Linked DNA regions of Mytilus edulis. The protein of the gene in region 2 interacts with the protein of the main gene of each other region in a pairwise test. Links are inferred from orthologs where the notes say so. Each region holds a gene or a part of one and is shown on either strand. Other genes may lie near its edges.

The links. The genes of interacting proteins can lie anywhere in the genome.
Region 1: the proteins of protein trachealess-like (region 2) and aryl hydrocarbon receptor nuclear translocator homolog interact in a two-hybrid assay, tested with the Drosophila melanogaster proteins (3 studies listed by BioGRID). The link is inferred for Mytilus edulis from reciprocal best matches to the Drosophila melanogaster genes trh and tgo.

What each region holds. Positions count from the first base shown.
Region 1 is NC_092347.1:3,963,982-3,971,264, forward strand, and holds the start of aryl hydrocarbon receptor nuclear translocator homolog, read right to left. Parts: upstream 3,060-7,283; 5' UTR 2,980-3,059; coding exon 2,862-2,979; intron 1-2,861. UniProt on the Drosophila melanogaster protein: Heterodimers of tgo/trh are involved in the control of breathless expression. Plays a role in the cellular or tissue response to oxygen deprivation.
Region 2 is NC_092346.1:74,486,510-74,493,663, reverse strand, and holds the start of protein trachealess-like, read right to left. Parts: upstream 3,073-7,154; 5' UTR 2,714-3,072; coding exon 2,622-2,713; intron 1-2,621. UniProt on the Drosophila melanogaster protein: Transcription factor, master regulator of tracheal cell fates in the embryo, necessary for the development of the salivary gland duct, Malpighian tubules and the posterior spiracles.

The DNA of each region.
Region 1 (7,283 bases), on a different chromosome or scaffold from region 2:
ATCCAATTAGTTTATATCTTTGTCATTCTTTTCAAACACAATAATGACTTACTATAGTACGAGTCACTGAATAAGAAGGTCTAATGTTGACAAGGAAACTTCTATCATAAATAGATTTTATAAATAAATAGTTCAAAACATTGTTTTGTAAGTCTATAATTTATAGCTCCGTTTTCCAACAACAAGTTAGTGCATAATTGTAATTTGGATCTTTTTTTCTAAAGCAATTACTTATCTGCTACCATTAAAGGGAAATAATTTACATTACTGAAAATCAGCAAAATTTTGTGACAATTTTTGTCTGACAAATATCAACTTTCCTCATTTAATTTGTTTGTAACATTATTTTTATGATTATTAAACATTTATCCTCTATTTTGAAAAGAACAATGAAATTTATTTTTAAGATGATTAAAATTTTGAAAAAAAAAATGTTAAAAACCTATTATTGAACACATTCAAAATTCTATAAATCATACAAATTCCCCCGTAAATTATCACCAGTCTAGTAGTCAGTAAGGATTAGGGGCAATAAGGCCCTTATTTGGCCCAAAAATTACTGCAAATTTAAAAGTTATCATACATATTTTAAAATTACTGAAAAGTATCTCAGGTAGAAGGTATTCAGAAAAACAAAATAATTTTGGACATTAAACAAGTTACCATGGCAACAAATCATGCCTTAATTTGCATATTTTGTAAAATTTTGTGATTTTCCTTGTTTTCATCAAATTGTTAAGTATATTTTCGATTGGAAAAGTATGTGCGCACCCAAGAAACAACTTTATATTTGGTGAGATTTTGTCAATAGTAATGATAAAGCTTCAGTTAAATTATTTTGTTGTTTCTTGGCTGCGCACGATGTTTTCACAACAGAAATAAAGATAGAAAACTGCATAAATTCTTAATTTTCATCGTTTTTGTGAAAACAGTATATATTATGACGTAATTGTGACGTCATCACATAAGAATCTTAATGTTTTTCATTTATATTTCTTGACCCTATGCATTTCTAAAGATTATGTTTGAAAAAGTTATCAAACATTTTATTTTCTTGGGCCAAAACCAGGCCTTAATGCCCCTACTCCTTTAATTTTGACATGAGTTTTTATGATATGGTAAAATTATAGATTAACAGCTGTTTTGCAAGACTTTGCATTGTTCAAAGTACTAAGGATTCTCTACCATGGAGCACAAGATAACTTATAAGCAGTATTTGGCAAAACCTTTGTAATTTATGTCCGAAATGCCCTTCAACTTCCTCCTAATTTGGCATTTCAATTTTTTTTTATTCAAGACGTATTGAGGATTTTTTTGTAGGCAAAAGCATAAGCCTGGTATCATTGATTATTTTTTTAGTGAACAATAACTCAATAAAAATTATTTCCCTTTAATGCCAGCAGATCAGTAATTTGTATAGAAAATATTATAAGAAACATAATTACACAATAACTTTGTCTTAGAAGACAAAGCTATAAAATATATATCTACAAAACAATGGTTTGAATTATTTATTTATGAAATCTATTTAATATGCTAGAAGTTTTCATCTCAAAATTATACCTTTTTATTCAGTGACTCATACTATAGTAAGTCATTTTTTTGTTTGAAAAGAATGGCAAAGATATCAACTAACTCGATCTTGATGGTAAGTATTACTTTTGTTGCTATTGTGATACCCCAAAGGTCACTGAATAACCACTGTAATATATTTTAACCAGATGCTCAGCAGGGTGCAGCTTTATATGACCGCAGAGGTCAAACCCTTGGGCAAGTATGGACACAACATTTATGCTTGATACAGCTCTGAATTTGGATTGTGATTAAAAAGTTGATCAAAAATCTAAGAACATGTTTAGATTCAGCATATCAAAGAACCCCAAGAATTCAATTTTTGTTAAAATCAAACTAAGTTTAATCTTAGACCCTTTGGACCTTAATATAGACCAATTTGAAAACAGTACCAAAAATTAAGAATCTCAATACACAGATAGATTTAGCATATCAAAGAACCCAAATAATTCATTTTTTGATGAAATCAAACAAAGTTTAATTTTGGACCCTTTTGGCCCCTAATTCATTGGGACCAAAACTTTCAAAATCAATCCAAACCTTCCTTTTGTGGTCATAAACCTTGTGTTAAAATTTCATAGATTGATATTAACTTATACTAAAGTGCTAAAAACAAATGTCTTCGGATGCCGACAACAACGACGCCAATGTAATACCCTTTTTGAGTTTGTATAAAAATATAGATTTATACACGAAAATTAGTACATGTATTAATGACAATGAATTAATCCAGTCATGATTCATTTCATGACAGGTAATAATAAAATATCTGCTAGAGCAGGAAATTATTTTTTTTAGTCACCAATTATGCTAGTCTTTTCCAATACACAACAACTATTCTTTCTTTAGTTTTAAATTTTCCATGGTGCTCTTTTTCAATAAAAGAATTGGAAAATTAACTCTTAATAAATTTCAATGAAACATAAATTCATGAACAAAAGAAAAATAAAAGCCATCTAGTTTCTTATGAATCACTCTTATATATTTAAAAAAAAATGATGATGTGGTATGATTGCCAATGAGACAACTCTCCACAAGAGACAAAATGACACAGAAATTAACACTTATAGGTCACCGTAAAGCCTTCAACAATGAGCAAAGCCAAACTGATAGTCAGCTATAAAAGGCAATGTAAAACAAGACAAACAGGAAAACTAACCGCCTTATTTTACATATATTCCAGCATCTCGGTCTATAACCATAAAAACAAAGCTGTTAATGTCAATCTTTCTGACGGCTCATTATAGAGAAAATATTGAAAAAGACAATATAAAAAATCTTTTACAAACCATAAAAAACTCTTCCATAAGACGGATGGGTAGGAGGTCCATATTGCTGAGGCAAGTACATCTGAGAATTTTGAGATGTCTGTTCGTAACCTGGGTAACTTCCTCTTGAATAATCCATCTTGTTTTCATCAATTTTTATTTCTAATTAAATGCAAAATCTAACGCAAAGTCTTTTGACGTTTGCATAAATATGTGGATTAAGCTTAGGTGTTTTTAGGATTGAAACACATAATCTGTATCAGATTAATATCGAGTTACAGATAATCTAAATTAAGCTTCCATGTTGTCATTTATTGCTATATTTTGTCTTTCATAGATTATTTTCAAATTGAACTTAAATTGTACATAATTTCATGTAATACTAATCATATAAAAATTAAGAATAAAATCGAAAGTATTGATTATGTAAACATCATATTTGCTCCATTCTCATATATGTACACATTTTTTTAATTCCCTCTGGGACTGTCAATATATAAAAAATCTCTTTCTGTACAGCCTACACAATTATAATGAAATGATTTTCTGGAATTAGACACATCATGATCTTTGCCAATTGAAATGTGAAAATCCACAAAATTTCAAACTAAGGTGTTAAGATTCATTTATAATCCTTTCTACATGTGAACACACTACAAATATAATAATGCCAAAAGGAGGAATTTTTAACAACTGTATGCACTTCTCCTTACAATTTACGTTTGTAACATATTTCATGATGTACATTTAACTTTGCTACAAGATTTTTTTACCTTGTCGTGTGCAGTAAATGGCATAAATGTCAGGGAAATTTACTCATGTCATGTCAAATGTTTAATTAATGGGTCAAGTTCATTGAAATAATTAAATCTTCATTTCATTAGAACAAACATATTCAATTTCCAAAAGCGTGTTACATGTATATAATTTATCTAATTTGTATTACATAACCTTGGAAATGTAAATGATTTTTTTTTTTATTATTCAACCAATGGCATTATTTGATAGCCAACATTTGAAACAGTAATGCAGATTTGGATAAGCCATTTTAGCTGGTGCAAATGCTTCTAAGAAAAATAACTTTAGATTACTTTAAATGGAGGAAATGCATGAAATCAGCATGTTAATTTTGACTACTCTATTTCCAAATTAACTATGACAACAGAGACATTGGTAAGTAAATAATTAGTCGAAGTTTTCTTCATGAACACTTTTTTTCTAATATTTTTAGCAAAGAAATAGAATGTATGGTCATTATTTATGCAAACAAATATTTGTAAAGGTTTCCAGAAACCCAAAAATCTAGCAGCAAACTAAAGTCATATTATATATATATATAGAGAGAGAACGAAAACCAATACTGGGATGTTCAAACAGACAAGGGTAAAATTGAAGTCCCTACACTACAGTGCAGGCATAAATACAGCCTGGGACAAAATATGTGGATATTTTAAATTAAAGAGCTTTTGTGAGCATGCTCATATACACTTTCCCCACATTGTCACTGGCAAACAAAATCTCATCAGATTAATCATTTCCAAGTTCAAGACTTGTAACTTCTAAAAAAGTCAACTGATAAAAGATTTATTGTAAATATGCACACCTATATATAATGTCCTCATTAACTACAAAGTGTGGACGTCGAGGAGTGATGAAGACAAACTGTTGCAGTTGTATATTTCAGCCCACTTTCTAAGTTCAAAGGAGTATAACATCTTGAGAAAAAAATCAATCCTAATTTCACGTCAATAGGCACATCTACATTGCATCTCTTTATTTTCCACAAAGATTCATGAAATTCTGTTGTGTGGTTTCAAAGGAGATACCATGACAAGTTGCAGTAGTATGTAGACAAAAAAAAATAAGTTCAAAGGGGTATAACTCCTAGAAAAAAAATAATGTCATGTCAATATGCAAACCTACATAGTAATTATGTATTCTCTACTTAATTTTTGTCATGTAATTTCAGAGGAACTACAATTACAAACTAACATACGATCAATTTTACCTGAAAATTTCAAGATTAAATTGATTACTTCATTACTTTTGATGTTTGTTTGACTGTCAATAAGTTGTTTAAAGAAATAAGTCACTGACAATTGTAAAAATATCAAAAATCAAAGAACTACAAGATGACATTAATACTTATAGGTAATCATCAAATTATTGGATAGGATTAAAAAATAGAAACAAATTGTCTGTAAAAACAACAGTATTTCATATTTCTAACAAACAAAAATAAGCCTCAACACCAACATCAACACAATACATTTTGTTATATAAATTTTGGAAAATTTATGGAACAGCGACTTAGGGATATGATCTTTAATTAAAAAAAACTGTGTACTATAAACAATACATAATATGTTTTTTATAACACTCAGCAAGATTATTGATTAGTAGGCATTGGTGATACTTTATGATCTATCATATTTATATAACACCTATCCACGACAAACACATTGATAATTAATGGTAGGTAATGGACATCTATATATATGTATGTAACTTACATACAGATAGATGTTGGACATCTATATATATGTAACTTACATACAGGTAGATATTGGACATCTATATATATGTAACTTACATACAGGTAGATATTGGACATCTATATATATATATATGTAACTTACATACAGATAGATATTGGACATCTATATATATATATAACTTACATACAGATAGATATTGGACATCTATAAATATATATGTAACTTACATACAGATAGATATTGGACATCTATTAGATGTCCAATTCTATATATATATATATATATATATATGTAACTTACATACAGGTAGATATTGGACATCTATATATATATATGTAACTTACATACAGATAGATATTGGACATCTATATATATATGTAACTTACATATAGATAGATATTGGACATCTATATATATGTATATATTATAAGATATTATAATGCTATTATAAGTTATAAGTTATAAAAGAATGAGAATTTGTTTAAGTAGGGAGGAATAGTACAAAATCTTATTTCAGACCATGCAAATGTTTTAATCAATTTACTAGTAAGAGATTATGATCAGTCTCTCCTTACATCAAAATAGTAAGTGAGGCTGCGTCTCAGGGTGTATGAATTTTCAACAACGGTGTAAAATTTTGTACACCCCTGATTACATCAAGATAACTAATGGCCAAGTTGGGATACAAAAATTAACAGATCTGACATAAATGTGCAAGGAATTGAGAAAAATTAAAGTGAAACAAATCACTGTTGGAAAGATGAGAAGAGTTGTATTCATAATTCTAAAATCAGCTGTTGGTGTCCCATTCATAATCTCAAATCAGCTGTTGGTGTCCCATTCATTAAAACATGGTGGGGAACAAAGTAGAAATATATAGCAATATTTTCTGCAGAATAAATTAGCTCAACACATTTGTCTATGTACAGACATGTCGGTCAATAAATTGGCAAAACAATTACTAATATATTGCAATTTGATATTGTACTCATCATGTTCACAGTTTCAAATTTCAAGCTTTAACTTTACATTTTATCAACCAAAGAAATAACAACAAAAAATAACTCTGGGAACCAAAATATAAAATGACCAAATAAAATCTTAGATATTTGTCTCTTAAAACTTACCTGTAAATGGCTGTTTTGGCCTCATTTCTATGTTCAAACATATACATGTACATGTATGGATACTATAACGGTAATTCTCAATCCTCTAATAATTAAGGCTTGCTTATTGATTTTAGATACATGTAATATTATAGGGTTACCTAGGTGAATTTTCATTTCCATAAATGATAATATCATCATGAAATTTATATTCTGCCATATTCTGGTCAATCTGGTGTCCTAAGATAAAGAAGTTTTCATTTTTGAGGCTTTTTTAAAATACATTTTTGTATTTCAATCATAGAAGAAGAGAGGCGTTTTTGAAGGATGTTGTATATTAAAAGCATGTTAAGTGTTATGATCTTTCATTGGATTTTTATTGCAAATTTTCCAGAAAGGGGCAATGCAAATGCACTGTTTCAATCAATACCTAATGATTATAAAATCAACTTACATTACAAATAACATAAACCTGCCAGACTTGCATTTTTGTTATTATCCAGATTTTATAAATGTCTTTTCTTTGAAACAAATACATCATTTTTTTACATCATATATTCTGAGGGAAGTAATAGGTATATAATCAAATCTGCCATTTCTATACATTCCTATACTTCCTTATACATGTTATAATAAGCTTAACAGCTTATGGCCGATTGAGTACCTACTAATGAAGGGAAGCAATCCCGTCATCAGTCTGCACCTTTAGCAACAAGCCTGATGCTCAAGACTAGTAATATTTCACACAAACTAGTAAGTTTATAAACACTTTGTTTAGACACAGAAGAACAAGAATGTGTCCATAGTAAATAAATGCTTCATTCGCAAAATCATTTTCT
Region 2 (7,154 bases):
GTGTTTAATAAACCATGTCTATTTCTATGAAAGCATACAACGAATGAATTTTAAAATATCTTAATATTTTTAAATCTTCTGCTTTCAAATTTTTAGAGTTGAACGCTTCTAGTGGTGTAATTCCAGAGAAGTAAAAAACAAATCACTGACATAATACTTTAATTTTTCTGTCTGTATACCTTGGTGGTTGTTTCATTTTCTTCTATTTTCTATAATATTTTTTTGGGGTTAAATTAACGACAACTGTTATCTTTGTTTCATTCTGTTTATTAAGATAGCTTTACAAGGGAGTGACTGAATCATCATTTAATTACAAAATCTTTAAATCCAGATCGCATATGTATAATATATTATTTTTAGGCAATACATGTTAGAATAAAATCAATAATAATTAAAAAAAAAAATGTTTAACGATCAAAAATGAAAATGAATTTAAAAAAAACTCTTGAAATTCATTTTTTCTACACAAAATTCACATTCTAATTCATTTAAGCATGCAAACTAGAAAGGGAAGAAAAAGAGGACAGTTCAAATCCGTCCAAGAACGTTATGCAACTCCGTTGCGGAAGGACAAAACAATACACAGAAAACCATATATATAGTATATATAGATTTAAAACAAATCCCATTCAATTCCCTGGAGTAAAGTAATGTGTTGAGATGGCTCAGATGAGACATAGATGTAATACATCTATGGATGAGATAAGTAGTTTTTGTTCTCCTTGTGGTACCACTCATGCAACACGCCAGCAGATGTCACAACGGATACAACCTATACCTTCTTAACCAACTAAAGAGTTCAATTTCTTGTAGTGTTTCTATATATGTTTTTAAGAAAGTAAGGGTAGGAAGGAACCCCCCCTCCCCAATTGGATGTCACCAATATAACAGCTAAAACCTTCTCGAAGTATTCGTTTTGATGAGATATAAAACATAATTTCTCCAACTGTCAAAATTATTCTGAAAACAAGCAGGGTTTTTCATATGCCTCTAAAATAACATTTTTCCAAATGGCCATGCACTTCGCCATTTCATTTAGCTTTATTAAAGTTTATATGGTTTATAATAAATGCTTTGTCAATAACTTATAGAAACTGCAGATTAAATACATAAAAAAACAGTGAACCACAATCTTTGTAGTAAAATGTACAAAATGCCAACACATAGAAATTAGAATACTAGGAATTAAATTGAGGCTGAAACTTTTACATGTAAAATACGGTTCGTTTGTTTTTAATGTTAATGTAAGGCGGTTCAACCCCCAAAAATTGTTATATCTAATATATACGTTGTATTTGTCTCATTAAAAATAAATTTGACTTAAAGATGAATGATATTACACATACAGGACACATGAATAATTAGGGAGGATATCTTTGTGGGATTATTGTTTAATCTTTGAGGTTAAATTGGAATTTGTTTTATTTACATTTTTTAAACGAGAAAATTTCTTTTAACATGCATCTGTCACAAAACGATGCATAGTTCACCAACACCACTGAAAGGCATTAATGTATGTAATGAAGAATGTGTTTAATTCATTAATCATTAAGTTACATATCAGATTTTTGTATATTATTTAGAAATTAATAAAAAATAAAATCTGAAATCAGTGCTTGATCCTGATTTTTTTTTAAACAAATCGGTACTGCCATTTTGTCAATCAATAAAAGCAAATAAATGAACAGTTTTATTTTCTACTAAAATGCTTTTGATACTCATGAAATAAATACATAAAATCTCAGTTAAAAATTGAAGTGTCCGTATAATTCTATATCAAATGGAGAAAAGTTAGGTTAAAACCAAGATAACGTGACTATATAGGTTAAAACTTAAGTCAGTTGTAAAAGATATATTCCAGTTTTTAGGATAGAAGTAAGGGGTATTTTATAGTAATTTATGTAATTTTGTAATTCAATTCGAATAAAAACACATAAACGAAATATTTGATTTCTGTTTGCACATATATGCTTCGTCTTAAGTTCAGTAAAAGGTTGTTTGATATTTCTTTTTCTTTCAAATTAACACTTTTATTTTTTGTTCTTTTCGGAATTACAATCGTTTTAAATAACTGGGGGAAAAAATTGACGACAATGTAACTAATGTCTTTGCGATTATTAATTAGTTAAGGTTAAAAATTTATTGTACTTTCAGTTTTATTAAGACAGTTTTCTATGTAACGGTGCATGAAAGTCTCCTTATTTTTATTCGTAAAAATATAATTTACTATCGGAGTTTGATTTTTCAATTTTCTAGAGTAAAATTACGCTGGGCTTAACATACATAAAATATATTAATGTATAATTGATATTCTAATTGTCCAGTTGCGTATATGTGAAACTTGAAAATCAAATTTGAATTTAGCCATAAATGTTGATAGCATATGAAATTTGAATTGGATATTTTCTGACGTTGATGATTTAATTTACAACTGTATTCGCTAATTAATACTTTTTATCGAACATGAATGCAATTATGCAGGTTTCGTACACTATGTTTATTTTTATTTTTATTTTCATTTTTTCATTATTTGTATTGCTTTCTCATAAAATATTCAAAAACACATATTTGATATTTTCTCTTAATATAAATGATATATTTTTTTTTATCGCTAAGCTTACCTGAAATCAAGAAGGGATGCCCCCATGCCAAAGGCTTGACCCTGAAGAGGCTGGCGTACCAAATCCCATTGAAAAAATGATTGTTCATTCATGGTGAAAATTTTCCGTTCAACCGTGCATACTACAAGAAAACAGGTAGCATTTTGTAACACACGGTATAAAGTAAACCCATCGATGAAAAAAGAGTAATAAACTACTTATTAAAACAGTTCTAATGTTTTACAAGTTTCCTTAGTCATGCGCACTGTCAAGGTTTTGGTCGACTTTCCGTCATTGTCTAAGACAAGTCTTGCAAAAGTAGAAGTATTTTGATTAACATTGATTGATTGAACAATTCTAATTGGGCAAAGCAAATCCAAAACAGCCAGTAGAAAATTTCTGCAAATTATCAAGAACTGATAATTTATACAAACTAATGCATTGATATTTTGTATACATTTATTATTACTGCATTAACAAAAAAAACAGAATTATGTATATATTTCAGCATGATAAGTGAAATTTTAAAATATCCACTGACGCATTTGAAGTCAAACAATAGCCAAATATAGGAATTCAATGCACTTCAAAACTTTTAAATTAAATTACTACGCTAAACCGAGCATGATGCGATTTTTAGTTTCATAATTTATGTATGTTCAATATATAAAGATAATTCAATCAAAGATAGCCTAATGCGCATTTTCAGACCGAGCGATTTACGTAAAACACTTTGTAGGGTTTCTTTTCTGTTTGTTATGTAATATTGTCAGTAGGTTTTCTTATGCTAAATAACTTATTAATTTAAATGGAGGATAGAAATAAGAAAATAAATCTCCTGAACTAATATCGCAACTCCGCTAACATTTTATTATAATTTTATTTGAATATCCATATAAATGAAAAACTGAATCTTGTATAAATCGTATTACTTAAACTTTCATCAATTAAAATACATTCAAATGTCATTTCAACAGTTTGGAAGGAATCAAGTACAAAGATTTAAAAGTGAGTTTTTGTTATAACTTTGAATAAAATTAATATACTCCTTTGAAAAAATTTGAATGTAAGACCCCTCTGCGTTGTGTTTATCTAAATTTGTTGCCGTCACAGCAGTGAGAGTTGTTTTAAATACGAAATTATATATAATAAGAGAATTTCCGGAAGCCGAAGGAGATTTAGAATTTAACACGAATGATATAATTCATTCCAATCAGTTTAATCTGAGAACAACTTATTCATAAAATTGAGAATGGAAATGGGGAATGTCCCAAAGAGACAACAACCCGACCATAGAAAAAAAAAACAACAGCAGAAGGTCACCAACAGGTCTTCAATATAGCGAAAAATTCCCGCACCCGGAGGCGTCCTTCAGCTGGCCCCTAAACAAATATATACTAGTTCAGTGATAATGAACGCCACACTAATCATAGCTACATAGAAAAGTACTTTTTAATTTTAAATCCTATTCCATTGAAAGTTGTCTGTGGCAGCTCAAAATGAATCAACGCGGACACAAATTTGGGCCACGTCAAAATTATTTACCCCATTATCGTGTATAGTTTAGTCGTTTTATGTTTGGAGATTCGTAAATGCACGATATGTGGAATTTCTATGAAATTTCCATCTGTATTACACTTTCATCATATTGGTTCTAGATTTTATTACACATGGGGACATTTAAAAAAGTCTTGCAATTGTGGTCAGAATTGACGAAAACGCGGTAGTTTCATGCAATTTTCTTGGTACTACTATTACAACAGTCTCAGATCATAACGCAGTAGTTTCATCTGAGATTCTTGGTACTAGTATTACAATAGTTTCAGTTCATAACGCGGTAGTTTCATGTGAAGTTCTTGGTACTACTATTACAGTAGTCCCAGATCATAACGCGATAGTTTCATGTGAGGTTATTGGTACAACTATTACAATAGTCTCAAACTATAACGCGATAGTTTCATGTGATTTTCTTGATACCACTATTACAGAAGTCTCAGATCATAACGCGGTAGTTTTGTGTGAGGTATTTGGTACTTCTATTACAGTAGTCTCAGATCATAACGCAGTAGTTTCATGTGAGGTTCTTCGTACTTCAGTAGTCTTAGATCATAACGCGGTAGTTTCATGTGAAGTTCTTGTTACTACTATTACAGTTGTCTCTTCATGTGAGGTTCTTCAGTGGTACTACTATTACAGTAGTCTTAGATCATAACGCGGGAATTTATGTGACGTTTTTGGTACTAACTATTACGTGGGGGGATAAGGGGGGATACATTTTTTTGTTAACCTGTTTTGGCCTTTTTCAAGGTGTTGTTAACTGTTATCTAAAATAAATTTAGACTGTTAATTGTTTTCAACCTACTGTGTTAACTGTTATCAGTATTTCTGCATTTGTAGTTGACTGTTTTTTTCCAAAATCGAGGTGTTGTTAACATGCTATTGTCCCCCTCTATATTACAGTTGGCTCAGATCATAACGCGGTAGTTTCATGTGAGGTTTTGATTCTACTATTACAGTAGTCGCAGTTTATAACGCAAAGTTTCATGTGAGGTGTTTGGTACTCACTATTACAGTTTTTTCTGATCATTACACGGTAGTTTCATCTTAGGTGTTTGGTTCTCACTATTACAGTTTTCTCAGATCATAACACGGTAGTTTCATGTTAGGTGTTTGGTACTCACTATTACAGTTTTCTCTTATCATAACATGGTCGTTTCATGAGACGTTCTTTGTACTACTGCCAAAGTTGTTATAGATCATAACACGATAGTTTCATTTGAGGTGCTTGGTATTACTATGACAGTTGTCTCAGATCATGATGCGGTAGTTCCATGTAAGGTTTTTGATTCTACTATTACAGTAGTCTAAATTCAGAACGCAGTAGTTTCATATGAGGTTTTTGGTACTACTATAACAGTAGTCTTAGATCACAACGCGGTAGTTTCATGTGAGATGATGGGTACTAGTATTATAGTAGTCTCACGTCATAACGCATAAGTTTCATGTGAGGTTTTTGGTACTACCATTACAGTAGTCTCAGATCATAATGCGGTAGTTTCATGTGAAATTATTGGTACTAATATTACAGTAGTCTAAGATCATAACGGAATAGTTTCATACGAGGTGGCTGGTACTACTATTACTGCAGTCTCCGATAACGCGGTATTTTCATGTGAGGTTTTTGGTACTACTATTACAGTAGTCTCAGATCATAATGCGGCATTTTCATGTGAGGTGCTTAGTATTACTATTACAGTAGTCTCAGATCATAACGGGATAGTTCTATGTGAGGTGCTTGGTACTATTATTACAACAGTTTGAGATCATAACGTGGTAGTTTCATGTGAGGTGCCTGGTATTACTATCACAATAGTCTCACATCATAACGGGATAGTTTCGTTTGAGGTGCTTGGACTACTATTACAGTAGTCTCAGATAACGAGGTAGCTTCATGTGAAGTGCTTGGTATTACTATGACAGTTATTTCAGATCATAACGTGGTAGTTTCATGTGAGGCGCTTGGTACTACTATTACAGTTGTCTCAGATCATAAGGCGGTAGTTTCTGTGAGGTGCTTAGTATTACTATGACAACAGTCTCAGATCATAGCGAGGTAGTTTCATGTGAGGTGTTTGGTACTACTAGTACAGCTGTCTCACATCACAACGTGATACTTTCATGTGATGTACTTGGTACTATTATAACAGCAGTCCAAGATCGTAACGTGGTAGTTTCATGTGAGGTGCTTTGTATTACTATTACAGTAGTCTCAGATCATAACGGGGTAGTTTCGTATGATTTGCTCAGTACTACTATTACAGTAGTCTCAGATAATGCGGTAGTTTCATGTGAGGTGCTAGGTATAACTATGAAAGTAATCTCAGATGATAACGTGGTAGTTTCATGTGAGGAGCTTGGCACTACTATTACAGTTGTCTCAGATCATAGGGCGATAGTTTTATCCGAGGTGCTTGGTATAATTATAACAGTAGTCTCAGATAACGCGGTAGTTTCGAGTGAGGTGCTTGGTATTACTATTACAGTAGTCTCAGATCATAACACAGTAGTTTCATGTGAGGTGCTTGGTACTACTATGCAGTAGTCTCACATCATAGCGGGATAGTTTCATATGAGGTTCTTGGTACTACTTTAACAGTAGTCTTAGATTATAATGCGGAAGTTTTCTGTGAGGTGTTTGGTACAACTACCAAAATAGTCTCAGGTCATAACGTCAGTTGCGGATCCAGAGGGGGGTTCCGGGGGTTGGAACCCCCCCCCTTTTTTTTGGCCGATCAATGCATTTGAATGGGGACATATAGTTGGAACCCCCCCTTTATCCTGGGTTGGGAACCCCCCTTTTTAAAATGGCTTGATCCGCCCCTGAACGTGGTAGTTTCATGTGAGGTGCTTGGTACTATTATTACAGCAGTCTAAGATCATAACGTGGTAGGTTTTTGAATCTATAAGCAGATTCTCAGTGATAACTTCACAGGTGTTGGTCGGTCAAGATAGAAGAGAAATCATAGGGTTTCCAGTACGGTTGGTAGATACAAT